Elephas maximus indicus: one gene and its partners. Each later gene encodes a partner of the first gene's protein in a complex. Links are inferred from orthologs where the notes say so. Each region holds a gene or a part of one and is shown in the gene's direction. Other genes may lie near its edges.

Region 1 (6,992 bases):
CCATGTAGGAAACCAAGGTTCAATTCCTGGCCAAGGCACCTCATGCGCAGCTACCACCCATCTGTCAGTGGAGGCTTGGTGCTGCGATGATGCCGAACAGGTTTCGGCAGTGCTTCCAAACTAAGATGCACTAGGAAGAAAATCCTGGCAACCTACTTCCGAAAACCAGCAAATAAAAACCCTATGGGTCACAGCTGTCTGACCTGCAACTAATCACAGGAATGGTGCAGAGCTGGGCAGCATTTCCTTCTGTTGTACACGGGGTCTCCATGAACAAGGGCCAGGCTCCACAACAGCTGACAACGGGGGAGAAAAGCCAATCACTCAGTACCTGCCCACTAAGTAGGGGTGTCAACACCTGCCCACTGACTAGGGGTGTCAGGCCTGCCTACTGAGTAGGGGTGTCACGGCTGCTCTGGGCCCAAGGGAGGCAGGAAGTGTGGCTGTGCAAGTAGCCTGCTGACATACGTGATGACAAATACACTGATGACTCACCCGAAGGTGCACCGTTGTTTTACGCCTGAACTCTCTGGGATAAGGTGGTTTATTGTGACCTTAGCCACTCTGATTTTATCAAGAGCAGCCTGGTGCCCCATCACCTGTGGAGACAGCACCTCAGACCTGTGTCACAGATTGAGTTGTGTCCCCCCAAAGTATCTGTCAACTTAGCCATGATTCCCAGGATAGTGTGACCATCCACCATTTTATCATCTGATATGATTTTCCTATGTGTTGTAAATCTTATCTTTATGATGTGATAAAATGGGATTAGTGACAGCTATGCCAATTGAGGCAGGATTCAATCTAAAAGATTAAGTTGTGCCTTAACTCAATCTCTTTTGAGATATAAAAGACAGAAGCAAGCAGAGAGATGGGGGACCTCATACCACCAGGGAACAAAAGCCAGAATAGCGTATCCTTTGGACCTGGGGTCCCTGCACTGAGAAGCTCCTCGGCAGGAAAAGATTGATGACAAGGACCTTCCCCCAAAACTGACAGAAACAGAAAGCCTTCCTCTGGAGCTGGCACCTTGAATTTGGACTTCTAGCCTCCTAGACCGTGAAAGAATAAATTTCTTTGTTAAAGCCATCCACTTGTACAATTTCTGGTAGAGCAGCACTAGATAATTAAGACAAGCTGTCAAACACTCTGCACATTAAAACGGGATCACTGTCGCTGAACAATGTGCCAGTCCACAGGTGGGACCCCCAGTCGCTATCCTCTACAGCAAGGAGTCCCCATTTTAACACAATCTGAGTGGATCACACAAGTGTGGTGGTGTCAAGTCCTAGGACCTGCTGATTACACACAGGCCAGGTTCCTCAGGCCGTGTGCACGTCCACCACTGCGCAGGGACGGGGGGCCACCACTAACACAGACTCAGTGACACACCAATGCCCAGCTAGCCTAGGCACAGGCACAACACGTTCGCTCAAGCTGCTTTCCAGGACTTTGCAGAAGTTAACACCTTCCTTGCTCCGGAAACTGCAAGTCCTTGCCCCTGCAGGCTTTCAGTATCTGGGGCATCCTTATGAAGGGCGATTTAAAAAGATGAAATCAAACCAAACCTCTAGAAATTCCGTTACTAAACTCATTTGCTACTCAGGTGGCATAAACAGTCAACTGCCTGCCTGCTAACTGAAAGGCTGGCAGTTCAAACCCACCCAGCAGTTTCTCGGGAGAAAGGCCTTGTGATCTGCTAGGTTGCCCTATGGGGCAGTTCTGTCACATGGGGTTGCCATGAGTCAGAATTGACTGAACCCAACAATCAACAACACAGCCTGATTAAGGACAGTCAATCAACGATCCCATCAAATCCCATCCCTCCAGCCTGATGGGATCAGGATTTGTTAATCCCAAGTGATGAGATCTCCTTCTGGCCAGGCAGACGAAGAGCTCAAGCCTGGAATAAAATCTTGTTTGTACTGAAACCCAATCTCTTGAATTTCACCGGAAGAAATCAAGTTCTAGTGAGATACTAGGCTCTTGCCTGCCCCAAAAGGACGGAACTGCTCTAGATCAAGGAGACTTAAGAGTAAACGCATCCTAATGTAATGTGGAATCCTGGTTCAAACCACTCAGCCGTACAAAACCACCTGGGGACAAACTAGAGCGATCTGAACAAGGAGGAGGTACCGGGCGGCACTAAGGGATTACTGCTGTGTTGTCAGAAGTGACCAAAGTGCTGTCTCTGGAGAAGAAGTTGGCGAGTCAGGTTTCAAGATGTGGCTGAAGTGTGTGACGTGAGAGATCAAAATGTTTATGACTTACCTTAAAATACTTCAGCAAAAAAGTGAAACAAAAGTGGTAAAATACCATTACCTGTCAACACCATGTGCTACATGGGTATGTGTGTGCTGATACCACTCTAGTCTGTTTGAAAACGATCAAATAAAAAGTTTTAACACCTGTTTTTGATCTGTGTGTTTTACAGCTGAGTCTGATTACATCACAAGGCTGCATGCTTTTTCCTTCAAAACCGTGGGTTGGATTATACAAACATGGGCCCAAACTGCCTGGCTTTTTAGATGTCAGCTCTTCTTCAGGGACGGGATATTAACACCCAGAGATTGCATGCAGGTATTTACTAGGAAAGGCCAGCAGACAGAGCTCATGACAGAGCAGGGGTGTACTCACAGTCTGGGCAGCAGCCGTTGAAGGCCATCCGGCAGATGCCACAGTTCTCATCATTGGCCACCCAGAGCCAAGTGGCCACACCATTCCAGCACTTGATCTTCACCTTCATGGCCTGGAGCCTTCAGGCTAGGGGGAAGAGGATTACCTTGTTAAATTTAGTATGCAGAGCTGGAACATTTGGGCACCAAAGAAGGAATATTTGCCCTATCCAAGAGGGTCAGCACTGCTGTGAGTGGCTTGGCAAATGGGGTGCAGCTCCACTCAGAGGGCAGGAAAAGGTGCACAGAGGTGGTACTCCGCTGTCAAGAAACATCTACTAGGAATCCCTTTTAGAATCAAAGGAGAAAGCTGGAGACCCATCTCCAAGGAAGAAGACTCAGCACCCGAGGAGCCTCAGATCCTGCTTAGGACAGCGTGAGTCTGTCCAGCGTTCCATTCTGCCAACCACATTTAGAACGCCTTCACGGACCTCGAGTTATACCTTGAAGCTCATAAAAGGGTCTGCTGGTTCCCACTAGAGAACTGTAAAACTATGCCAAACAATACTCTTTAAAATGACGCGATTAGCAAACAATGAGAGCCACCAGCTTAGGCATTACAGATGGAGGCCAAAATTCCAGTTCGGTGTGAGTTTTCACCTCCAGAAATCCTCCCCCACCACTCCAAAAAAAAAATCAAGCGTCTACTCCGGGCCTCCACCCGCCTCGGGGCTGAGCCCGAGGTGAATCCAGTACCTGACGACAGAACCAGATGACAAAGTGCCCAGACATGAATCGTCAGGAAGGGTGGACGGGGAGGTGGGAAATGCAGGTAACGACCCAGTCACCGCCCAAGGAAGCTCGGCGTTCCCGCTGCCAAGTCAGGCCTCAGCTCCCCGGCCACGTCGGGAACCCACCTCGGCCGCCCTCCAGTCCGGCCTCCCGAGCCCATTCGCCTCAGAAGCCCCCCAAACCCGAGCCCAGCCGCCCCAGTGCCCCCCCTCCCCCCAAGCCCAGGCTTCCGCAGCGCGACCCGAGGCCGGCAAAGGGCGGGGCTGCGTGGGAAAGGGCGCCCCGCCCAGGCCCCGCCCCCAACGGCTGCCGTCCAACCCGCGCACCTTCTACGACCTAATCGGCGCGGCCCCGCCCGCCCGTCCGTTGGCAGCGCCGGCGTCCGCGCGGGAAGGTCTAAAAACGACCGCGGCCGCTGCCTGCCACTTCTCGAGCAGCGCCCGCGGAGCTTTGCGCGCCAGTGCGCCTGCGTCGCCCTGCCCCGTGAGCTCAGCCACCCGCCCGCAGCCAATCAGCAGCCGCTCCGAGGCCGCGGCTCCAGAAGGCCCCGCGCGACGAAGGAAGTGACGCTACGGCGTGCTGACGCGCGGGCTCGAGCCGAGGCCGATTCTGCGCCCGCCATGGCCGACAAAATGGACATGTCTCTGGACGACATCATCAAACTGAACCGGAGCCAGCGCGGCGGCCGCGGCGGGGGCCGGGGCCGCGGCAGGGCCGGCTCCCAGGGCGGCCGCGGCGGCGGAGCGCAGGGCGCCGCGCGAGTGAACCGAGGCGGCGGGCCCATCAGGAACCGAGCGGCCATTGCCCGCGGCGCAGCCGGCGGCGGCAGGAACCGGCCGGCGCCGTACAGCCGGGTGAGTAGGGGGCAGCCGGACAGCCAGCCTCCGGGGACGCGGCGGGAGTGAGCCGGGCGGGAGCGGCTCGCGGCTTGGCCGGGCCCGGGGGCGGAGAGGGGTCGAAGGAGCGGTCGGACCCGGGTGCCGGCGCCCGCGAGGTGTGGGCGGGGGCGAGGGCGCGCCACCCGGGCAGATACCGGAGACAGAGACCTTCTCTGGTCGTTTGTCTTATTCGGGCCCCGGGGCCTCGTAACGGCCAGGAGCCGAGGGTGCGCTGGGTGCGACGGCGGCGGGAAGTTAGTTGAAGGAACTGAGAAGTTGTGTGGCCGCGTCGGGACCATGGGGCCTGCGGCTGGGACGACGGCAGCCCCCGGAGCTGGGGCCCCCGAGACCCGGAGGAGAGAGGGTCTGTGGTAGTCGCGAGCGAGGCCTGGAGTGCGATTGACGGGCCTATTTCTGTTTTTGTGGGTTTTTCGTCCCCTTCAGCCGAAACAATTGCCAGACAAATGGCAACACGACCTTTTCGACAGCGGCTTTGGGGGCGGTGCTGGCGTGGAGACCGGTGGGAAACTGCTGGTGTCAAATCTGGATTTTGGAGTGTCGGATGCTGATATTCAGGTAAGGAACGTGAGATTCTCGTTGAGCAGAGTTGCACAGTTTGAAATGTGGCCCCGAATTCCCTTCCCACCTTAGAAAAGTGAGCCCTCCCAGCTAACCACGGGATCGCCTTGTGCCCGTGTTAGCGGCCACTTTGTAGCTTGAACATAGTGTCAAGCAGTGATTGTGTTGAAGTTGACAGTTCCACGAGTAGGCCCGTCTGTGCTTGCAGATAGGACTGTGTCAGTCTGAGGAGCTACTTCTGAGCACTGAAACGCACTCTGTGAGCCTTATGAGCCCCTGCTAGAGCTTCCAACTTGTAGCAGGGAAAGGATTGGTTAAAATGTGAATGGGTCTCAGGTATCAGTGACAGACCCCGCTGCTTGCTCTAATTTTGTGCTGATTTTGATGATGATGATTTGGGATTTAGAAAATTTGTTGCTAAAACGAATGAAGTGTAGCGGGAGGATCTTCCTTCAGTGTTTTTCCTGTCATGTTTGCCTGAGTCCTGTCCTATTGTATAGCTTTTTGTAAACCTGGTCTCACTTGTCAGCACTCGCCACGTCTCATCTGTGGCATGATTCTCAAACCGTGTTTGGTCAAAGCCCGTGGCTTTTTTTTTTTTTTTTTTTTAATTGAATCCCAAATATGTTTAAATTGGTTTTTTGGTTAAGGAGTAAGTTCTGGGTTTAGTTTTACAGATGTCTAGGTCAGGGTGTTGGGCCTTTCTGGGTTCAATTTCCCAGAGTCTAGCCGTGTGACTTTGCCATGGAAGGACAGAGCAAGGCTGGTGAGCACTCACAGTGTCTCAACACTTTTTTTAAGGTGGTTTCTGGCATCCACTGGAAACCGCTTTTGGTGAACTCCACTTCCCGCTGTGTGCCTGCGGCCGGAGTAGCCCCACTCTCTGGGTTCCCTCTCCAACTCCCAGCCTGCCTGAGGTCAGGGCAGTTACCATGGCAGCGCTTGACTTCAGCCTTTGCGGCAGGCTTGAGTAGGAGGAGAGGGAAAGGTGAGCCAGAACCTGCCTGGGGGAGGGCTGGGGTCAGGGCTCCTCCGTCAGTGCCCTCCAGGCTGCTCCACTGTGTGGACAGCTTCCCTTGCTCTGTGATCATGGCCTTTGCTGTTGATTGGACGTCTCCTTGGTCTGAGATAATCGTGACTTAATTTTGTGTCCTTCATAGTGGACTTTGCAACTTCCTTCACCTGCCTCATGAAATCGATGTCCACTCCCAACGCCGACAGGGGCCCTCAGACCCACCTGCTGTAGGAAGTTGCTGTCTGCCAGCCCCCTCCCCCCCCCGCCCCAGTTCCCATCCCCGCTACCTTGTCTTGCATATGTTTGTCTCCCAGGGAAACACCCCAGAGCAGATCACACTTGCAGGAACTGTATTTGGGACACAGCTTTTCTGTTAATTTGTTTTTCCTGATTTCCAGGAACTCTTTGCTGAATTTGGAACTTTAAAGAAGGCTGCAGTGCACTATGACCGGTCTGGCCGGAGTTTAGGAACCGCTGACGTGCACTTTGAGCGGAAGGCGGATGCCCTGAAAGCGATGAAACAGTACAATGGCGTGCCATTGGACGGTGAGTATCAGCCTGGACCAGGATGAGAGGGGCCAGATCCTACGTTGTGGCACTGGGGCTGGTACCTGTCATATAGAAATGTGGCTCCCTCCCCGTGGCTGAGCACACTTTGCATTTGCCCCTTTGTCTCTCTCTTCCATTCTGCCACCTCTCATGCTGCCCCACACATCGGGACCAACCTCTTGTGAACCCCCATCCAGCAAGCTACATCCCTCCCCTCCTTCAGCTCCTTCCGGAAGATTCACTTCTGTGAAGCCTTCTCAGAACTGCCATAGTACACCTCTGAGTGCGGGGCTGTAGTCGTAAAGACAAAGGTACCGGTCCTTCTTCTGTGAGGTCACCCACACCTCTCTACCCACCAGAACCCCAGACAGGTTACCAGACAGCCCACCTGCCTAGACAGGAAAAGAAGGATGAGGTGTGGTGGGGTTGTTTTTGTTTCTCCACCAGTGTTTTCATGCTTGTGTCCTTGTTGGCAGCATTTGAGGCACAGAGAGACCCTTTCCAGTCTTTGCATGGACCCCAGGGTATGGTGGCATCTGGACTGGAATGTGATGTCTTGTGTTC
Region 2 (7,871 bases), about 1.7 Mb from region 1:
GTCAGCGGAAAAGAGGAAGACCCTCAAACAGGTGGATTGATACAGTGGCTGCAACAATGAGCTCAAGCGTAACGACGACTGTAAGGATGGCGCAGGACTGGGCAGTGTTTCGTTCTGTTGTGCATAAGGTCACTATGAGTCGGAACTGATTCGACAACGGCACCTAACAACAACAACAATCCCATGTGACTGGCGTTCTTATAAAAGAGGAGAAGAGACAGGAGACAGAGGAAGGATGCCATGTTATGATGCTGCAGCTGCAGTCAAGGAAGGACTGCGGCTACCAGAAGCCAGGAAAGAGGCGGGAACAGATTCTTCCTCAGAGCCCCAGAAGCAATCAGTGTGGCCAACACCCTGATCTTGGACTCTCGACCTCCAGAACTGTGAGAGAATAAACCTTTTTTTGTTTTTTTAAAACAATTAATTTATTGAGACAAGAAATTCCTGTTCTTGTAAGCCACCCACTTTGTAGTATTTTGTTATGGCAGCCCTATAGGGTCACTATGAGTTGGAATCAGCTTGACAGCAATGGGTTTGCTTGTTTTGGGTTTAGGGAACTAATACAACCCCTCCTCCCAAAGAGGTGGTGGGGCGGGGGAACACCACCAAGTGGCTCATACAGCAACCATGATGAAATGTAAACTCCATTTTATAGGCTATAAAATCTTTTATGATCAGGCCCTGCTCACTTTTCCCTTACTCCCTGATGCCCCCACCCAATCTTCCCACATTCACTATGCCACAACCCTCTGGGTGTATGTCCCGTCTCATGCCTGTCTCCAGGTCTTTGTACCCATGGCTCCTTCTGTTTGGAACACTCTGTCCACCACCCCTCAAGTCAACCTTCCTCCAGCCACCTGGATAAACTGACTACCCAGTTCCTCTCTTCCACTTCACCTTATTGCCTTTTCTCCCCCGTAATTATGGAACCTGCAGCAATCTTATTTGTTTGGGTGCTTTGTCAGTCTTGCCCTACACTGGAATGTATGTGCTGTGAGGGAAGGTGCCGTCCGTCTGGTTCACCGCTGAGTCCAGCATCCAGGACAGCGCCTGCTCAATGGGTCACTGTTGCCTGGATGGTTGACCTACGCGAGGGCCAAAACCAAAACCAAACTTGTTGCCATCGAGTCGATTCTGACTCATGGCAATCCCACGTGTTACCAGGTAGAGCTGCTCCATAGGGTTTTCTTGGCTGCAATCTTCACTGAAGCAGATCGCTAGACCTCTCTTCCGCAGCACTGCTGGGTGGGTTCAAACGCCAGCCTTTCAATTAGTCATTGAGGACAAACCATTTGTTCCACCCAGTGACCTCATGCAAGTGCAGGAGTGCAGAAGTTGGGGCAGAAGCAAGGTGGGTTCAGTCAGTGCCTTGTAAGGTGCCCACCCCAGCCAGATGGGTTTAGAGAGGGCTGAGCCTAGAAAGGAACAGTGTTTGTCCTTCAACACCCCGTGGTGGGCAGGGACCTATGGCAGGAAGTCATGCAGTGGGGACATCTTCTGGGGTCAAGGTTACTTCTATCTAGGGCATCACCTCGTGCAGTGATGACTCATGCAAAACGCAGCGCAGAGAGCAGCACTACACTCAAATCTTTGCTGCTTCTGGACAGGACCAGCCACCTTAACCTTCTCCACCAGATCCCAAGAGTCAACATGGATACAGGAAAAGAGACAGCCAGCTCTTGAGAGGTGGAGCCACGTGGCTATTCCCGCTTTGCCCACAGCCCCTGTGTGTGTTCACGAAGTTCCTGAGGCAGTGCCCTGTATCCCCCCTTCCTCTCGCCCTGTGCATCACACAGTCAGCAAGCCAAAAAGCATTTACTGAGTACTAGTGTATGCTATCTGGATCATAACAAATTATGGATAATATTGCAAAGAATGGGAATTCCAGAACACTTAACTGTGCTCACATGAAACATATACATAGACCAAGAGGCAGTCATTTGAACAGAACCAGGGGATACTGCATTGTTTAAAATCAGGAAGGGTGTGCATCAGAGTTATATCCTTTCGCCACAGTTATTCAATTTGCATGCCGAGCAAATGATCTGAGAAGCTGGACTATATGAAGAAGAACAGCGCATCAGGATTGGAGGAAGACTCATTAACAACCTGCGTTATGCAGATGACACAACCTTGCTTGCTGAAAGTGAAGAGGACCTGAAGCACTTACTGATGAAGATCAAAGACCACAGCCTTCAGTGTGGATTACACCTCAACATAAAGAAAACAAAATCCTCACAGCTCCAATAAGCAACATCATGATAAACGGAGAGAAGACTGAAGTTGTCGAGGATTTCATTTTACTTGGATCCACAATCAACACCCATGGAAGCAGCAGTCAAGAAATCAAATGATGTATTGCATTGAGCAAATCTACTGCAAAAGACCTCTTTAAAGTGTTAAAAAGCAAAGATGTCACTTTAAGGATGAAGGTGCTCCTGACCCAAGCCATGGTATTCTTAATTGCCTTATACGCATGTGAAAGCTGGACAGTAAATAAGGAAGACTGACTAAGAATTGATGCCTTTGAATCATGGTGTTGGTGAAGAATATTGAATATACTATGGACTTCCAGAAGAACAAACAAATCTGTCTTGGAAGAAGTACAGCCAGAATGCTCTTTAGAAGCAAGGATGATGAGATTTTGTCTCATGTACTTTGGACATGTTATCAGGAGGGACCAGTTCCTTGAGAAAGACATCATGCTTGGTAAAGAGAGTTGGTGAAAAAGACGAAGACCCTCAACGAGATGGATTGACACAGTTTCTGTAACAATGGGCTCACACATAATGATTGTGAGGACAGCACAGGATTGGGCAGTGTTTCATTCGGTTGTACATAAGGCTGCTATGAGTCAGAACTGACTGGAAGGCACCTGGAATGGTTACAGTTTTGTGCCAACTTGGCTGGTACATGATTCTCAGTGGTTTGGGAGCTATGATGTAGTATGGTATTTGTATGATGTAGTCACCTCCATGATGAGATCTGATACGATATGATCATCTCCGTGATGGGATCTGCTGTAAGTAGCCAATCAGTTGAAAGGGAGCTTCCTTGGGGGTGTGCCTTATGTTCAATATATGTGGACTTTCTGGCAAAGCTCACTGGTTTTTGCTCTTCCCTGGACCCTGCATTCAGCTCATCAGTATCTGACCTCCAGTTCTTGGGACTTGGGCCAGCAGCCTGCTCTTACCTGCCGATCTTGGATTCATCTTACCTGCCAATCTCGGATTTATCAGCCCCTGCAGCTACGTGAGTCAGAAGCAACCAGCCTGACCCATAGACTTGGGACATTCCAGCCTCTACAACCATAAGGGCCATTTCCTTGAGATAAATCTCTCTCACTCTCTATATTTATAATATATGTATGTACGTGTGTGTGTGCTTCATTGGTTTTCCTTCTCTAGAGAACCCAGCCTAAGACAGCACCTAACAACTCTATGCTTGGGACACAATGGTGAGCAACACATACCCGGTCCTTGTCCTCCTGACTTTAGTCTAATCAGGTGAGACACCTCCTGCCCCTCGAAAAATATAAGCTGTGTGGAGAGTGAGGGGCAAGAGACAGAGAAGGTGCTGAGCCTGAACATAATGGGTAAGTCCACTTCAGTGACCCGGGTGTCTGTTGCTCTTGAGACATCAAGGAGGCTGGGATGAATGGCCCAGGGGTAACAAGCAGAATAAATCCATGCTTAGGGAACTCAGAGCTAGAAGTTCGTATAGTAGAAAACAGATCTTTTATTTTTGTCATCACTCAAGACAGATGGGTCTGAGTAATTGTGGGGAGAATAGGGCCCTTCTCAAAAGAAGAGGGTTTTTCTATGAACAAACGGTACCCTCAAAGGACACATACTATACAATCCCACTTATAGGAAATATCTAGAATCAGCAGATGCATACAGACAGAAGCAGATTAGTGGTTACCAGGAGCTGGGCAGGCAGAATGGGAGTTACGACTGAAGGGGTAGTTTCTGCTCGGGGTGATGAAAAAGCTTTGGAAACAAATAGTGGTGACAGTTCCACAACAGGGCGAATGTAATTAATGCCACTGAATGGTATAGTGAAAAGGGAGCTCTGGAAGATGAACCCTCTAGGTTGGAGGGCACTCCTAACACAGCGGCCCCAACAACGGACTTGAACAAATCAACGGTCAAAAAGATGGCGGAGAATCGAGCAACGTTTTGTTGGCTCAACAGCAACTAAACTCTGGTAGGAGCTTTCATCAGTCGCATTAGGAGATTAAAAAATGGCAACATAACCAGAGTTGACAAAAGGCAGTTTAAAAACTCAAAAAGTTTCCGAATGTCAGCGATTTGAAATATGGATTTCCATCTGGCTTTGGTAATAATTTCACACGGTGAGATATTAGCCAGTAATAACATCAGCCTAAAACGTATAAACGAGTAAATATACATATTTTAGAGAGTCATACTCAAATTATTTCCGCTCAAGGCGGAATCACCGGGAGACCCTGCCTAAGTGCCCGGGTGCCGACCCTCTGCCTGACTCCAGGGTCTCCAGTCTCACGCCGACTCGCGGCTGCCATACGTAGTGACCGTAATTTAGGGCAATTTCACCCTGCAGCTCGGGTAAGCCCACTAACGCGACCCTGCCCCACCTTGGGTAGGAATGTACCCACAACACACTCGCGCCGGGCACCGCCAGGCCCACTTCCTGCAGCCTCCGAGCCACTTGTACTGCCTCTTTCCGCGAGATCTCCAGAGCGCGCGAGAACAGCGACTCCGCCCCTTTCACGTGACCGAGAGCGCCCCGCCCCTCGCAGGCGCGGCCCGGTTCCGCGTTCGTACGCACGCACGCACAGGCAGGCGCGAGCGGTGGCGTCACTTCCTGTCGGAGGCCGCAGCGGGTCTTTGCTTCCGTTTGCCGCCTCGGACCAGCCGCCGTCGCAGCGCGCCCGCTCGTCTTTGCTCACTCGCAATCATGGCGGCCACGGCCACGATGGCGACCTCGGGCTCCGCGCGGAAGCGGCTGCTCAAAGAAGAAGACATGACCAAGGTGGAGTTCGAGACGAGCGAGGAGGTGGACGTGACGCCCACGTTCGACACCATGGGCCTACGGGAGGACTTGCTGCGCGGCATCTACGCCTACGGTGAGCGGCCGCGGGGCGCACGGGGGGCTGGCGCGCTGCGGAGCGGAGCGGAGCGGGGGCACTAGGGCGGACGGGCCTTCCGGACCTGCCCCAGAGGTCGGGGTCGGGGGTCGGGACTCGGGACGCGCGATTCCACGCCCCCAGCGCGTCCGCCAGCAGCGTCGGTGTCGGTTCACACAGTTCTCAGTGCTGAGCGCCGTGCTCGGTCCAGTAAGCACCTCACAGCCGTTCTGGGTGCATTGCACCCACTAGGTGTTAGGCCGGAGTCCTGGTGGCGCATTGGTTAAGCGCTCGGACGCTAACGGAAAAGTCGGCGGTTCTGACCCACCAGCTACTCCGCGGGAGAAAGATGTAGCAGTCTGCTTCTGTCAAGATTTCAGCCTTGGGAAGCTTATGGAGGCGGTTCTTCGCTGCCCCGTAGAGTCGTTATCAGTCAAAATAGACTCAGTGTGGCAAAGAATTTTTTTCTAGTTTTAGGTGTCAGGCAAAGAACTGGGGGCGCAGTGGTTAAGCGCTCGGCTGCTAACTGAAAGACCAGCGGCTTTTTGGAAGAAAGGCCTGGCGATGTGCTCCGGTAAACAGTGCAGCCTAGGAAACCCTGTGGGACAGCCCCACTCTGGCGCATGGGGTCGCTATGAGCAGAAATTGACTCCACAGCACCCAGCAACAGCAAGTGTTAGGCAACAGGCGCCAATGTAGGCTTTGGGGAGGTGGAGAAGCAGACACGTTCCCACGTCAGGGGGCTTTAATTGTATCTGTGAGAGGGACAATAACTGAAGCTATTTCAGACAGTTGTAATTGCTGTGAAGAACATAAAGCTGGGTGATTGACTAGGGAGTGACTGGGGGAGGGGAGGGGAGGGCAGTTTTAGTCAAAAAAGAGAAGATAGGTAAGAGGTCTCCAGCAGGAGGTGACACTTAAGGTGTGGCCTGAGTTGAGGAGCCGGCCGTGAGGAGACTGCTTGTGGAAGAGCATTCCCAGCAGAGGGCACAGCCGGTGCCAGGCCCAGAAGCCTGACTGAGGCCAGTGTTCCAGGAACAGAAGGGAGCCCAGGGGTGAGTTTGGAGAGGTAGTCGGGGCAGTTGTGGAGAGCATTGTGTGATGTGATAGAGAGCTTGAATTTAATTTAGGAGAGCATTCTGAATGTTCTGGGAGTTGGGGGGGTAAGGTAGGCGTGGAAGCAGGGGATGAGTTAGGAAGCTTTTGTTCCAGTCCCTGTGAGAGGTGATGGTGTTGTCACGGAGACAGAGAAGACCAGTAGAGCCAATGTGACTGGATTCGCTAATGGAGTGAATGTAAGTGGCAGAGGGCAAGAGGACTCGAGCTTGATTCCTCGGTGTTTTGAGGAACAGGGTGGATGATGGTGCCACTTGCCTAGGTGGGGAACCCTTGAGGGAGGCAGAACTGGGGATGCTGTCTTGGATGTGGGGACCTTGAGAGGCCTAGGATCCATCCATTGGGGTGTTGGGTGGGCTGTTGTCTGTGCAAGTTTGGAGCCCAGGACAGAGGTCAGGGTGGGCATGTGGATATGAGTTATCAGTGAACAAGGTAGGTGGTCTGTTTTCAAAGCATGGGACCGAGACGTGTTTTATCCAGACTGTTTTCAGCGACATGACACCAATCAGACGGTGAAGAGGCAGAGCTGAGGCCCCGGGGTGAAAGGGCAGCATTGCAGCAGGGCCTGTGCTGAGGCTGACTGCTGTGCAGTAGATTGCTTTTACATGGCTTTTTTTTCATGGTCTTAGGAGGTGCCTTCGAATTGGTTTTGACTCGTAGCCACCGTGTGTACAATAAAGCAAAACACTGCTTGGTCTCGTAACTCCCACCAAATGATCGGGTGGAACTATGCAAATGAGTTGCTAGTGGCCCACCAAGGGGATTGGATAGCTTGCTAATAATGCAAATAAAGTGCATGGCATCCTTGTGTGTGGGGGGGGGACCATGCAAATAAAGTGTATAGAACCCTAACAAGGGGATTGGTCAGTTTTTTCCATCTCGCTAGGCTTAAAATGAGCCATCCCAGAGGCAGAAAGGGGGGGACGTCACTACCACCAAGAAGGGATGAGCGTGGAATCTGTTCCTTGGACCCAGGATCACTGCTCTGAGAACCTCCTAGACTCAGGAGACAGAACTGTAATGTGAGGGACAGCAGGAAGTGGTGGCAGAGAAATGGCAGCAGCAGAACCACGAGGTAGAATGAGATGGCGCAGTGGCCTTACCAGCCCACAGAGTTAGGCAGTTACAGTGGGTGCGCTGGCCAGTGGAGCAAGAAAGCTGGGGAGCACCTTTGGGCCTGGCTTGCTGGTGGATTGGGGTGTCCCCGGGCAGTTATTGGCGGAGCTAAAGAGCTTTGTAACACTTACCCAAGTGGGGCAGGAAGGCCAGGCGGAGGCCTGCCTCTGGGCATGGCTAAGAATATACTGTCCTGATGGAAGAACTGTATCCTGAGTCATTGTTCCTGATCCTGAATTGTAACCTGGTACTTCTCTAACAAACTCCTTAACTGTGAGTATGGTCTGTGAGTTCTGTGTGGCTATTGCAGCGAATTATCAAACCCAGCAGAGAAGTAGAGGGTGCACTGGGAGGGACAGCTGGTGTCAGTATTGGTAAAAAGGTTGGACAGAGGAGGTACGTTTGACCTCCACATCATAGGAATCAGCCTTGGGCTGTTGATCTTGATTCTCCTTCCCCCTTGTGAAGTTAGAGGAGGTCAGAAGCCCCCGCTGTGCCATTTTTACAGTTATGTTTCCTGTCAGTCTCT
Region 3 (6,972 bases), on another chromosome or scaffold:
ATTTTTGTTATTTGCCATGTCTGTAGATGGCCAGCTTTACCCGTTATAATTCTTATGATTTCACTCTTGGAAAATAGCCTTGTGGTGCTTCCTGATGCCTATGGTAGTGGTGGTGTTGTTGGCATAGAGTCAGTTCCCAGTCACGGTGACCTTACATGTAACAGAACAAAATGTAGCTTGGTCCTGTGTCATCTTCATGATCTTTGACATGCTTGAGCCCATTGTTGTGGCTATTCTGTCAATCCATCTCATTGAGGGTTTCCCTCATTTCTGCTGACCCTCTACCAAACATGATGGCATTTTTTAGCAGTTGGGTTTTTTCTGATGGACGCCATAGACATCAGGAAGCACCACAAGGTTATTTTCCAAGAGTGAAATCATAAGAGTTATAATGGGTGAAGCTGGTCATCTACAGACATGACAAATAACAAAAATGCTCAGAAAATTTAAAAAGACAGCCAGCTCCAAGCAGGCTATAAAGTGATCCAGGTTCTTGGGTCATGGTATAGTTGAAATAGATGGTCATGCCATTCTTGCTTCTCAGGAGCATTCTGTATTTATTGCTTCTAAGACTGATTTGTTCATTCTTCTGGAAGTCCATAGTATCAGTCAATATTCTTTGCCAATACCATAATTCAAAGGCATCAATTTGCCTTCTGTCTTCTTTTTTTTCATTGTCCAGCTTTCACATGCTTATGAGGTGATTGAAAAGACCATGACTTCGGTCATAAAATTACCACCTCAAGATTGTCGTTAGCTGCTGTTGAGTCTGGCCCTGACTCATAGCAAGCCCATGCACAATGGATCAAAATGCTGCATGGTCCTGTATGGTGATTGGCTGGGATTGGACCATTGGGACCTACAGAATTTTCATTGCTTGATTTTCAGAAGTAGATCACCAAGCCTTTCTTCCTAGACCATCTTAGTCTGGAAGCTCCGCTGAAACCTATTCAGCCTCGTAACAACACACAAGCCTCCACTGAGGGATGGGTGGTGGCTGTGCTTGAGATACATTGGTCCTGAGATACCAGGTCTCCCGTATGGAAGGGTAGAATTCTACCACTGAACCACCACTGCCGTCCAACCTAGGGGTTTATTTATTAGGTGCTTAATGCCTGGTGGTTCCCTTCTGTTTTTTATACAGTTCTCTCGTTAACAAATCCCGTGTTATATAATAAAAATGTCTTACGGTTTTGTAGCAATTTATAGTTCGCAAAGTATTTTCCAAGACATTGTTTCTTTTCATCCTGACAACAGTTCTGCCAAGTGTATAACACTATTATGCTCATTTTAAAGATAAGGAAACTGAGGTCCTAAAAGCTGAATTAGTTTACCTAAGGTCACAATGAATCACTTTTATACAAGGGATTATTATAATCCAGGTCTTCGGTTATTTATTTTTCTCCACCACGGCCACTCTACACTCTGCTACCAGTGGTTTTTCAGGGAGAAAAGAAGTAATGGCAAGACTGGAAATGAGAATCAGGGCCACTGGCCTAGGTTACAGAATAGTATACAGTTACAGTCACCAGACCCCAAGAATAATGTCCTCTCAGCACCATCTAGAACCAATTCCATTCCCCCTCTGTGGCTGGAACTTAGATGATCTAAAGCAGGCTTCTATAATTAGGGTTTCAATTGCCCTTGGCTTACTGAACTTGTAAAAATTTTTCCACGGCCAGAAAACCTTCACAGAAGTCAACCGCTGTGGCCTGAAAAAATGAATCAACCCTGACTCACTTGAGAAGCTTTACAAAAAAAATACCAATGCCCAGGTCCACCATCAGAGATTTTGATTTAATTGGCTTGGCATGGAGGCCCAGGTGTCTGCATCTTTTAGATGTTTCCCAGGTGCTTCTAACGGGCAGCCAGGCAGGGCTGAGAATCACTGCTGGGCAAGCAGTATATAGATAGATGTGCAGTAGGAGATCAAATGTTCAGTTTAACTTCTTTCTACTCACAGCACCTACTCTAGAGACCAGTGAACAAATAACCATTCACAAAAGACTGTTGCTGTTGTTAGTTCCCTTTGAGCCACTCCAACTCATAGCAACCTTATGTATAACAGAAAAAAAATGTTGCCCGGTCCTGTGCTATCACAATGATTGTTATGCTTGTGTCCCTTGTTTCAGCTATTGTGTCAATCCATCCCACTGAGAGTTCCCCCATTTTTGCCAACCCTCTGCTTTACCAACCATGATGTCCTTTTCTAGCGATTGGTCTTTCCTGATAATGTGTCCGAAGTCTCACCATCCTCACTTCTAAGGAGCATCATGGCTATTATTTCTTCTAGGACTGATACTTTCATTCTTTTGGCAATCCACAGTATATTCAATATTCTTCACCAAAAGGTAGAAAAGGATAAAATAAGGGTTAACCAGGGGTTTCACCAGGTGAAATCCACGTGAAACTGTGCATTACAGATTAGTAAGTAAGCACAAGTAAGCCCATGCTTACCTTGCTTACTGGGTAATCCGCCCCCATCAGGGGATTGTAAATTTGAAAAGAGGCTTTGATTCTGTAGGAAGGTGCTATGGGGCTGGGAAAGAGATGCCAGCGATACCCAGAAGCAGAATCTTTGATGTGAAATTATTCACTATGATGATCTGGTAAGCATCATGCTTATCTTGCCTATTGGATAATCCGCTCCTGGAGATAACCCAAGTGCCAGCGAGTTTGTTTCAGTAAAATGGCAATTCCACCTGTGAATTCAGGGAAAGCATCACAGAGAACAGTTCTCTTGAACTGGTATTTAAACAGCAAAGTTCAGACAAAGTCGCCTGTAGACACACCACCCTATGCAGTGGTTCCTCTTTAGCCCTATAAGGTAGGAGTCATTTAACCCCAATTTACCACTGAGAGGAAACCCTGGTGGTGCAGCAGTTTAGTGCTATGGCTGCTAACCAAACAGTCAGCAGTTCGAATCCACCAGGCGCTCCTTGGAAACTCTATGGGGCAGTTCTACTCTGTCCTATACGGTCACTATGAGTTGGAATTGACTTGATGGCACTGCGTTTGGTTTTTGGTTCTTGGTTACTATTGAGACGACATAAGTCCAGAGACCTGACCCAAGCCATGCTCTTTTTAATCGCCTTATATGCACGCGGAAGCTGGACAATGAAAAAGACCAAAGAATTGATGCCTTTGAATTATGGTGTTGGCTAGAACATTGAATATACCATGGACAGCCAGAAGAAAGAAACAAATCTGTCTTAGAGGAAGTACAGCCAGAATTCTCCTAAGACGTGAGGGTGGTGAGACTTAAGCTCACTTACTTTGAACATGTCATCAAGAGGGGCCAATCCCCGGAGAAGGACATCACGCTTGGGAAAGTGGAGGGTCAGCGAAAGAGAGGTAGACCCTCAGTGGGATGGATTGACACAGTGTGGCTACAACAATGCGCTCCAACAGCCACGACTGTGAGTCTGGCAAGGTCTGGGGAACCTTTCGACCTTGTTACACACAAGGTCGCTGTGAAAGGTAGCCAACTCCAAGGCACCTAACAATAACAACAAGATCCGGAGACAGTGAAGAGGCTTTCCCAATTCACACAGTGTCAACGGTTGAGCCTGGAGGTAGGCAGGACTCAGGATGTTCAGTCAGGGCCTTTAAAGGAGTGGTTCCGACCTCATCAGGGTCAGAGCCCCACGCCCCGACTCTTTCCAGCGACTTCCGGCCTGAATCCCCAACTAGACCCCGAGCGGGTAAAGGAAATCTCAACCTTGACCCCTCCTCCGGGGGAGAGGGGCGGGGCAGCCCTGGCCCCGCCTCTGGAGGAGGGGGTGCGGCAGCCTTGGCCCCGCCTCCGGGTGGGAAAGGCGAGACAACCTCGTTCCCGCCTCTGGGCGAGAGGGGCGGGGCGGCCACGATATGCCTCCGGATAAAAGGGGCGGGAAGTCTTGTTTCCGCTCTAGGAGGAAGGGGTGGATGGCGAAGAAAAATCTTTCGGATGTAGGCCACCGTGCTGCCGGACGTCACTTCCGTGCGCCGCACTCGACGTCAGTGTCAGGCGCTTACAGCGGCGGTGCGGCTTAGTATTAAAGTTTGGCCTCGGTTGGCTTTTGCGAGCTATGGAAAGTGACTTTTATCTGCGTTACTACGTGGGTCACAAGGGCAAGTTCGGCCACGAATTCCTGGAGTTCGAGTTCCGACCCGACGGTAAGGGCGGGCCCCAGGCTGTCCGCAGCGGGGACTAGGCCTCGGGGCGGGTGAGTGGGGAGGTTGGGGGTCCGGAAAGGGCAGGGAACTAGAGCTAGACCTGTGCTGCGCGGGAGTGAAAGGAACGCTCTTGTATACGCCCCACTGGTTCTGCCTTTGTGCAGGGATTCTGTTTAGTGACTTGTGCTTCTAGTTTAGAAAAGAGTGCTCTTGCTGTCGAGTGCAGAGTGGGCAAGAGGGGAAACAGGGCTACTTATCGAGGAGTCATTTACAGTTGTCAAAACAAAAGGGTTGTTGATTGGAACTAGGGTGATCATAGAAGTGGAGAGAAGGATTTAGAATACTCTTGGAGGCAGAACTAATGGGGTGTTGCTGATTGATAGAATTTGGGGAGGAGGCGCTGTGGTGAAAGAAATGAATCAAACATGACAGAAAACTTCTACTAACTGGGAGCACAAAGATGGATCAAACAAGCCCTGATTGTGAGGAAGACGAGCAGTGACAAACAGTGTATTAGGTGCTTTGGTAGAAAGAAACAGAGGGGGCACCTAACCTATACCGAGGTTCGGGGAAGTCTTCCTGAATGAAGTGATTTGAGAGGGGAGGAAGATGAGTCTTTAGGAATGTATAAGAGTTGGTGAGAGTCAAGAACGCATTTTGGAGAGCATTAGCAGCAGACGATCTGAAAACTAAAAAATGCATGGGATGTTTCTTGCAGAAACCAAGTAGTTTGGTTAACTCCAACTTTGTAAGAGGAGAATATTGCAGGAGTGAGGCTGGAAAAGCCGGAGGGGGCTCATCTTAGCAGTATGCTGTGCTGAGAAACTTGGATTTTTCAGAAAGGCAGTGGGGAGCCATTGGTACTATGAAAGCACTAGAGTAATCAGGTCTGTTACTAGATCACTTTATCCACCGCATGGAGAATGAGTTTAAAGGTGAAAGGCAAGAAACAGTGCAGATGTTGTTGCAATAAATTTAGCTCGTTTTACATGTGTTTCTTCTATTCTACAGGGTAAAAACCGCGTCTTCTATTTCTTTTTATCTTCTTTATCCCCCAGCATATCTCCAGCTTAGCTTGTTGAATGGCACACATGGAGGCTCACAAAGGGCCTTGTATACTGCACGCGCTCAGTGATAAAAGCACAACATTTCCATCACAGGAATAGATCAGAGGGTTGCATGATCATATGATAATATATATAACCAGCATTTTACAGATTTCAAAATGCTTTCAAAACTCATTTGGGCCTCAGGAGGCCCTGTACGCAGGTAAGTTATCAATTAGAGTCCCTATTTTCAAGTGAGGACATTAACCCATAGAGATGTGATTTGCCCAAGCTCACAAAAGAGCCTGCCTGTATTCTGTTAGCACACCTGAGCTGCCTTTTGCAAGAAATATAGTTCAGTGTCAGCTATAGTTTTGGCTGTGAGGCTGTTTAATAGCCTAAAGTGAAGAGCTAAAAAGACTAGTATTGTTGAAACACCAAAGGTTTAAATAGTAAATCCGTTAGACAATTTGAAGAGAAAGTTGGAGGATACATTTTGAGCAACAGCTGATAGTATTGGTAGCTAATGATGCTTTGGTCTTTTGTTTTCATTGTACACTGAATTTGTTTTTTGCTTCTCACAGGGAAATTGAGATATGCCAACAACAGCAATTACAAAAATGATGTCATGATCAGAAAAGAGGTATGAGCCTTCTGAGAACCCTTCATTCACTGCAGTTCAGCCCTTTGCCTTGTGTTGTTTTTGTTCTTCCTGGGAGTGGTATTAAACACAAAGAATAGGGCAGTAGACATATGTCTGTTGGCAGCTTCTAAAGTCTTCCTCAAATCTTCCTTTAGTTTGTGTTTGCTTTTTCAATGCTGAATCAATTACTAGTAATCATTTGGAGTCTGGCAGATCTAGGTTTGAACCCTCAATCTGCTGCTTACTAACCATATGATCTTGGGCAAGTTCCCTGGCTGAACTAGCTCAGTCTCAGTTTCTTCATCTGCAAAAGCAGGGATAATAAAACCTGTCCTCCTCACAACTCCTCAGTACTCTTGTAGAATTAAATACATTATATATAAGGTCCTCGGGGAAAGGGAGCATGAGAAAGCAGTTAACATTCATTGAATGCATGTTAGACACCAAGTCTGGCACTAGGTATTTTACATATATGACATATATGATCTTATTTAACACTAAAAAAAAAAAAAAAAAAATTTTTTTTTTTTTTTAACTCTATTGTAAGCCCATGTGATGGGTTGTATTATATCCCATTTGGTAGATAACTGCTTTCAAGTTGATTCTGACTCATGGCAACTTTATGTACAATAGGACAAAATGTGACCCAGTCCTGTAGCATCCTCAAAATGTTCAAGTGTGGCATGTTCAATTCCACTGCGGCTGTTGTGCCAATCTGTCTCACCAAGGGTCTCCAGTGCCCTCACTGGGCCCTTTATTTCACCGAACATGTCCTCCTCTAGTAATCGATCCCTTCTAGTGACATGTTTAAAGCAAACAAGTCAGACAGTATTCTGTTATGATCCGTAGTTTTTACTGGCTGGTTTTGGAAGTAGATCACTACTTCTTTATTCTTAGTCTCTTAGTCTGGAAGTTCTGCTGAAACCTATCCACCACGGTGACCCTGCTGGTATTTGAAATACTGGTGGCATAGCTTCCAGCATCACAGCAACATGCAGGCCACCATGGGACAACAAACTGACAAACGGGTGGTGGATATCCCTTTCACAGATAGATAAATGAAGCCTCAGATATTAACTAAGGGGCTTATTCTAAGTCACCCCTACTAGTAAGAGAGAGAGTGTT
Region 4 (7,164 bases), on another chromosome or scaffold:
GGAGAGACAGTCAAGATGCTAGGGAGCCGCTACTGTCTCTTTTTGCCCAGCATCAGTGTCCTCAGCTTTTCTAACCACACCATTTCCTTCAACCTTCCCCCAGGTGTCTACACTGCAAGGACCACTTGTTCCTAATTCATTTTTTAAATCCAATTTCTTGAAATGTTTTAACTTAATACTTTCAGCATACCAATTTTAATAACTTATTATCAAATAACATGACTCTACTTTTTTTCACGTTTGCTCAGGTATTTATTTTTGATTGTTGTGGCAAATGTTACCCAAACCTAGCTTCCAGGTCCCTCCTATAGGCCAAATGAGGAGCTCAAAGTTTTTTACAGAAAACATCATGCCACCCTCCAACACATACACGTTATTAGGTGGGCGCTGTTCAAATGAGGTACCGGAAGGTAAAGCAGGTAGAGCAGCTACAGTGAATGGGGGAGCCCAGATTTGAACTGAGGTCCGCCTTGGCACAGAAACTATGTTTTCCCCATCATGCTCTGCAGTCCTGCCAAAGTACAAATGTGTTTTCTTAGGACAATTACTTCCTAGGCAAATTTCAAATTTGCTAGAAGAGCAAAAAAGAGAATGGAGCTGAAAGAACCACTTACTCCAAGGGCTGGCATCATACTCATGTCTCTGCTTATCCATTGTCAATTATCTGGTCTGAATTTTTAGATATAATTTAAAAACAGCCACAGTGGCCCCAGGACTGGCACAGCAGGCTGGCTTGCCCTCTGTGTGTATGCATGGCCTATCAACTGCTGGCAACGCTCTCCTGTAGGAAGAAACCCAAGAGTTTTTGCACCTCCAGGACATCCTGGCTGGGGGAAGACAGCTTTAAAAGGCAAGTACTGAGCACAAAGATCCACTTTTTCTTAATTCTTTTCTCCTAAGAATGAGTATTCTTAACTTCCATTCTATTTAATAAAAAAGGTATGTCTCACTTTGACCCCTGGATCTCTTTTATAAAACAGGTATAGACAGACCCTCTCCCCAAGAAAAATACACATACACAAAAAAAGTTTTGGTCACAACTACAGAGGCTTCAGGAATCCTTTCAAGTCCACTCATGGGTTCCTGGAGGCCCACAGACCCTTCTTCTAAAATAGAATAACCCTTCTTCTAAAAGCGTATGACAGAAACGCCTTCATCGTTTCACAGGCCCAGGGTGAAGCCACCAGCCAGCTCCCTCATCATTCTTTACACTTTCTGAAGGTAAATGGTAAATGCAGACTCAGACTAACCTCCTTGACTAGCCCCTCATACTCTCAAAGAAAACAGAATGATTTGAGTAAATCAAAGTCACTAAATCTAAGGTCATACAAGTTCAAAGTCCAGATCAGTTTTGTTATAACTTAAAATCTGCTACTTCCATTTCTGTGTTTCTGTCCACAGACACCTCCTTAGAAACAGAACTTCTAAAATTTACTAAAATATCTTCCCTTGCTATAAACTGTTTTTCTAACATACATGCATACGTGTGTGCGTGCATGTATACACACACAATATGAAGACAAAGCAATTAGAAAAATTCTTAAATGTTCAACACAAATTTGTGTCAATGCACTTGTGAATTAAAGTATGTAGCTGGAAAAGGAGATTTTAAAGAGGCCATAAAGGTTCACATTATGTTGTGTTTCCCACTACTGAATCAAGAACTTTCAGGAATGTTTATTTTCAAGTACACCTCATACTTTAACCCTTTCACGCTCACAGGTACCTGTAGGGACCAAGCACTTTTTTCTGCCTCTGAACGTTTATGGGAAGCTGCTGGACCACTGACAGTCTGTGCCACCGAAAGGCAGGGGTCTTTAGGACTGTCTGAGGGTGAGGAAACGGGAGTGTCCTGCAACAATTACTGTTTTTGCAGGGTATTGTACAAAGTGTCTGAATTTCTGGTAGGAAAAACAAATTTTGAAAATTTTTATTTGTTACATATATGTACTAATAGGCCCCACTGGGGACGCTGGGGTATAATTAACGAACGCTACTTCATATGCACTGCTGAACATTTAGAGTAGGCTTTTTTTTGTGGGAGGGGGCAAGGAAAAAAAAATCCATTCTACCCACCAAAAATTCAGATACACTCAATGATTCGGCACGCTTCCCTTAATGAAAACATACTATCAATAAAAAATTCAAAGCAGAAAATAATTGGTTCACAAAAGTGTTAAAGCAGGTCTTTGAACAGGCAACTTCAGGTTCAAAACCCTGCTGAGAATTTCCATTTCTAACAAGTTCCCACGCAAGGCTAAGGCCGCTGGTTAGGAGCCAATTCTGAGAATCACTAGCAGAGTAGTGGTTCTCAAAATTTATTATAAGAATCACGAGGGGATCTTGTTAAACTATAGATTCTGATTCAGTATATCTGGGGTGGAAATGCAAATTCTCAGCAGGGGTTCAAAACAGAAGAAACAGGTTTGAAGTCCTCCTTTAAAGTCTTGGTATTAATACATTAGAAATTTCTGAGCTCTGTCCAACAAAATTATAAATTACTAACTGAACTTCTGAAAGTGTCTGCAAGGCTCTATCTGTGAAAAACTGACAGAATGTCTCGTGAAAATACTTCCGAGGGGCAGTAACACATTCCTATAAAAACATTAAAGCTTATTTTAAACCATTAGATACTGTTTCAAAATCAGTATTATGATAAAACCGAGTAACAATTTAAAAAAACATCATTTCATCACTTGACAATTACCTTTTGAACAACAACAATCCCCACTAAAATGTCACTGTGGCTAGATAATCGATTGAAACTTTCAGTTTACTGTTTGTAGTGAAGATTTAAAGCAATCCTTCTGGTTAGCGTTCCCTCTCTCTAAAACCCAGTAACTGAACAGTCTGATGCCATGTGGAGCCAGCGTTTGGGCCCAATAGTGTTTCAAAGCCAGGGGAGGTTTCATATCCTAGGGGAGGGCAAGTGAAACCTCCGAATCTTCACTCACGGTAATTTAAAAATCGAAGGTGCTAATTCCTGTCACCGCTGTGAATGACACTATTGAAGTTTCTGGACTCGTGGATGTGTGTAAAATTTTGCATACGCCGACGTCTAGCTAGAGATTGAACACACTTTACAGCCATACGTTTGCATTTACAGCTCGTCCTCTTTGAAAGAACTAGGGAAAACAGGGAGGACCAGTCCCTGCTAGTAAAATACAATCAACAAAATTGAAACCACCGAATCCATCCTATACGACTGCTGCATCCGGATATGAAGACGCAGACAGTACTTGGGAGGCAAGAAAACGGGAAGAGAGTCACGACATGGCTCGGTAAAACACCAGAGCCGGCTCGGAGCTCAGCCCGGCGTCTTGCGCTAACTACCCATCGGTCCACCGAGGTCAACCCGGCTGCGCCGGTGCCCGGCTCCGGGCCGCCCCTCACCACTGCGCCGCTGCCACCTACGGGCACCTCGGCCAGGTGGGAGCTGGGGGACTTCGGGAAGGGATGCCAACAGCATCTGCAGGGCGCTCCGGAAACGTGTAACTCTGCGCGGAAACCAGCGTTTCTCATTGGGCCCCCACCCCTTCACTTCCAACTTCCCCTTAACACGGGGACGGGCGCACAAGACTTTTTTTTCTTTTTTTAAAATCAAAGCAGCAGATGAAAGCAGCCCTCGGTGGCCGCCGGCGGGTCCCGCTCCGTCGGGGAAGGGGGTGCCCGGCGCTGGTGCTGGGCGCCGCCCCCCAGGCCGACAAGTTCCTCTCCCCTTCCCGCTCCCCAGCACCTCTCAGCCCGGGAAGACGGCGCGGCCGCAGGGCCCGAGGCGCCCCCCGCACCCGGCCTCCCCGTGGCCGCCCCGCGCCGCGCAGCCCTGAGGAGACCCGCCGGGCGCGCGGGCGCCAACTTCGCCGGACCCTCGGCCGCGCGCCCGGCTCAGCCCGGAGCCCCCGCCGCCCTCAGCACCCCCGGGCGCCAGGCCCCCCAGCGGCGGCCGGACGGGGTGGTCCCAGGGAGGGAGCTCACCTGGCGGCGGGCGGCGGCCTCCGGGCGGGCGCGAGGGGCGGCGGCCGGGGCTGCACGGACGCCGCCGCCCGCCGGGACTCGCCTCCACGCGCCGCCCCCGGCCGCCCCGGCTCACGAGGCGCGGGGGGCGCGGGTCCCGCGGCGGCGGCGGCGGCGCGGCTCAGGCGGCGGCGAGGGCGGCCGCGGGCGGCGCCTCCTCCTCCATGGCTGTTTACCCGGCTGCATTGTGGGAGTTTGACCTCCGCCGCCGCCGCCAACCGCCGCCTCAGCTGGCGCCGCCGCCGCGCACGCCATGGGAGCCGTGACTGACGGTGAGGCCCCCGGCCGCCCCGGGACCCGCTCGGCGCCCCGGCCAGGCCCCCGGCCGCCCCGGAGAGACCCTAGTCTTTCTCCCCGGCCGCCTCCTCAGGACCCCCCGCCGCTCCCCCGAGACCCTCGGCCGCCTTGGGACCCCGGCCTCCCCAGTCAGACCTGTCGGTCTCCCCCGAGACTCCCGGCCTCCCTGGCCGCTTCCGGGAGCCCCTGGGCCTCCCCGGTCAGACCCCTCGGAGCCCCTGGGCCTCTCCCGAAACCCCCAGCCGCTTCCGGGGGCGCTGGCCTCCGCCCGTGTCCCCCGAAACCCCCGGTGACTCCCGGAGGCGGCGCAAGGCATGGAGAGGGGGTGCTGGGAGGGGGCTGGGCGCCCACGTGGGGCCGGGGCGGCCGGAAGCCGGACTGGGACCCCGAGGAGGCCTGGGCTGCCCGCGAGGTGACGGGGAGCCCTTGTGGGGGGTGGGGGTTGTGGAGGGCATGGAGCTGGGGGTCCGAGCGCCTGTGGAGGGCTGGAAGGGGATGGAAGCGCAGGGGTCAGGCGGGCTATCGGGGTGTGGAGGCCGACAGCTGGAGGGGTCCTCTGGGCAGACTGGGAAGGGGCCCCGAGCTACAGTGACTGGGAGTGGGGAGGGGCAGCTGGGGACGTCATCTGAAAGGAATAGATGTGGATGGGGTGCCTGGAGGGCAATCTGGGAGTGTGCCTGGAGACTTATTTGAAAGACGAGGAGCCACTATTGGGTGGGGGCAATAAAAGATTTGTGTGTATCCTAGGGAAGGTGGTTTGTTGGTTGGACTGGATGGAGGGAGGCTGGAGACAGAGGCTGAGTTTGTGTACAGTTGTGAGGGCAGCTTAGGAAGGTGGACGTGGTCAAGAAGGGCCCAGGGGGTGGTCTAGGGACTGAGGGCAGAAATTGTGTGGCACCCTGGGGAAGGTGGACAGGTATGATGAGCAACTGGGGGAGAGCCTAGCTTGGGGGAGGGGGTCTTTGGTCACCGGGTCTGTTAGAGGAGAGGGTGACCAGTAACTATAGATGCCTGTGGAGAGACCACTTCTGAAGAGTGGGGGCAGACAGGGTCTCCATATTAAAGAGCTGGGCAATGGAAGGGAGAGTGCTGAGCCCAAATTTGTGGATACGGTAAGGAGTAGGGGAGGTGGGAGGCTGTGAACGATCCAGAAACCTCATGAGGAGTTTCAACTTTGCTTCATTCCAGTTTCATTTATTCAGTAATATTTATCCTAGCTGGGCTAGGCCTTGGGATTACAGCCCAGAATGAACAGGCAAGATCTTTCTCCCTTTGAGGTTACAACCATTCCGCGGGAGAAAGGTGCAGCAGTCCGCTTCCATAAAAATTTACAGCCTCCGAAACCCTATGGGGCAGTTCTACTCTGTCCTGTAGGGTCGCTGTGAGTCAGAATCTACTCACCAGCAATGGGTTTGGGTGTTTTTTTTTTTTTTTTTACTTTTCTTTCTTTCCCAGAACCAATTGATTTCTCACCTGTTAGCCATGTTATTTTATGCATGTTGCTGCAGTGGTCCTCAGTCTGAATTTATTTACATGCCTTATTCCAGAAAATATTTACTTCAGCTCACCATAGTGAGAAAATACAGAATAATGTAAATAGATGATAAAACAGGGCAAAAAGGACATTGAGACTAAGAAAAACAGGAGGAAGCCAGACGCGGGGCAATCTTTAAAATGCAAGAAGTGAAGTGTGGTGCGTTAGTTAAGAAAGCTACAAGTGGCTGGGCTCCCTTAGCGGCCCATCCAAGAGGTGAGACCTTTCCACTCTGTGAGCCAGTGTTGGTGACAGAACGCAGCATTAGATACCCTGGACAAACTTTTCGTCTGATTTAAACACTAGAGAAAAAGTTTCTCTTTGAGGTCCTCATAAAGAGGAGCCAGTGTCATTCTTCAACCCCTTTGTTGGCACTGAGAATCATGGGCTGTTTCTTAGCACATCTCTGTTATAGGGGAAAGTAGGCTAAATCACAATTCAGAAAGGCGTGTTAAAGCCAATAAATAGCCCGTGTGGTTAGGTGGGTAGCTCTGCTGGCCTGGTTAATCCAGAGCAGAGTTTTTTGCTTTTTGTAAGAATATTTTAGACCATAAAAGGAAAAGACAAACCACAACGTCTTTGGGCAGTCCTCTATAACATGGGTTTCCTCATCTGAGCTTTTACTAAAAATCGAGATGTGAATAGTATGTGTGATCAGTAAACAAGTATCTATCGCGTACCTTATAGGCACAATGCAGGATGCTGGGGTTACAGCAGTAAGCTAGACAGAGTGCAGCCCTGCCCATTGGGAGAGAGAAGCAATAGCATGCAAACAAATAAGTAGATAAGATAGTTTGTGAGAACGTTATTAAGTTCTGAAATTGATTATGTTCTGAGAAAGAATGTAGTGTAATGATGACAAAGTAATGGGGAAGAGTGCTGACAATTAGGTTAAGATACAGCCATCAGGTAAGACCTCTCTGAGATGTAACATTGGAGGTGAGACCTGAAGTGGAAGAAAAGGAGCTAACTATGTGAAAAGCCCAGCAAAGTGTTCCAGGTACAGACAATAACTAGTGCTTTGTGCCCTTTAGGAAGATAAGGCCAGTAAAGCTGGGTGCAGGAGGGCCAGGAGAAGTGAAGTCCAAAAGGAGGTCAGAGACATACACCAGAGCTCCCAAAGAGCCGTACAGACGATGGGAAGGAGGCTGGATTGCCTTCTGTTGGCACTGGGAAGTGATGGGAGGACTGTGAGCAGGAGAGTTAGCAATCTGATACATCTTGTAGATCACTCTGGACTGCTGTGTAGAGAATAGATGCTATGCAGGCGAGAATGGTCCTGAAAAGTTCTTGGAGAAGTACCAGTACCTGTCCCTGGA

The links.
Region 2: ALYREF (region 1) and EIF4A3 share a complex: the UniProt entries of both Homo sapiens proteins name them as parts of the ALYREF/THOC4-EJC-RNA complex. The link is inferred for Elephas maximus indicus from reciprocal best matches to the Homo sapiens genes ALYREF and EIF4A3.
Region 3: ALYREF (region 1) and MAGOH share a complex: the UniProt entries of both Homo sapiens proteins name them as parts of the ALYREF/THOC4-EJC-RNA complex. The link is inferred for Elephas maximus indicus from reciprocal best matches to the Homo sapiens genes ALYREF and MAGOH.
Region 4: ALYREF (region 1) and THOC7 share a complex: the UniProt entries of both Homo sapiens proteins name them as parts of the transcription/export (TREX) complex. The link is inferred for Elephas maximus indicus from reciprocal best matches to the Homo sapiens genes ALYREF and THOC7.

What each region holds. Positions count from the first base shown.
Region 1 is NC_064837.1:71,682,354-71,689,345, reverse strand, and holds the start of ALYREF (THO complex subunit 4), read left to right. Parts: upstream 1-3,971; 5' UTR 3,972-4,027; coding exon 4,028-4,261; intron 4,262-4,729; coding exon 4,730-4,861; intron 4,862-6,277; coding exon 6,278-6,425; intron 6,426-6,992. Other genes in the region: ANAPC11 (anaphase-promoting complex subunit 11), read right to left, coding at 2,638-2,746. UniProt on the Homo sapiens protein: Functions as an mRNA export adapter; component of the transcription/export (TREX) complex which is thought to couple mRNA transcription, processing and nuclear export, and specifically associates with spliced mRNA and not with unspliced pre-mRNA.
Region 2 is NC_064837.1:70,016,947-70,024,817, reverse strand, and holds the start of EIF4A3 (eukaryotic initiation factor 4A-III), read left to right. Parts: upstream 1-4,850; 5' UTR 4,851-4,941; coding exon 4,942-5,110; intron 5,111-7,871. UniProt on the Homo sapiens protein: ATP-dependent RNA helicase. Involved in pre-mRNA splicing as component of the spliceosome. Core component of the splicing-dependent multiprotein exon junction complex (EJC) deposited at splice junctions on mRNAs.
Region 3 is NC_064821.1:96,524,026-96,530,997, reverse strand, and holds the start of MAGOH (protein mago nashi homolog), read left to right. Parts: upstream 1-3,956; 5' UTR 3,957-4,070; coding exon 4,071-4,158; intron 4,159-5,788; coding exon 5,789-5,847; intron 5,848-6,972. UniProt on the Homo sapiens protein: Required for pre-mRNA splicing as component of the spliceosome. Plays a redundant role with MAGOHB as core component of the exon junction complex (EJC) and in the nonsense-mediated decay (NMD) pathway.
Region 4 is NC_064838.1:69,157,924-69,165,087, reverse strand, and holds the start of THOC7 (THO complex subunit 7 homolog), read left to right. Parts: upstream 1-4,153; 5' UTR 4,154-4,267; coding exon 4,268-4,286; intron 4,287-7,164. UniProt on the Homo sapiens protein: Component of the THO subcomplex of the TREX complex which is thought to couple mRNA transcription, processing and nuclear export, and which specifically associates with spliced mRNA and not with unspliced pre-mRNA.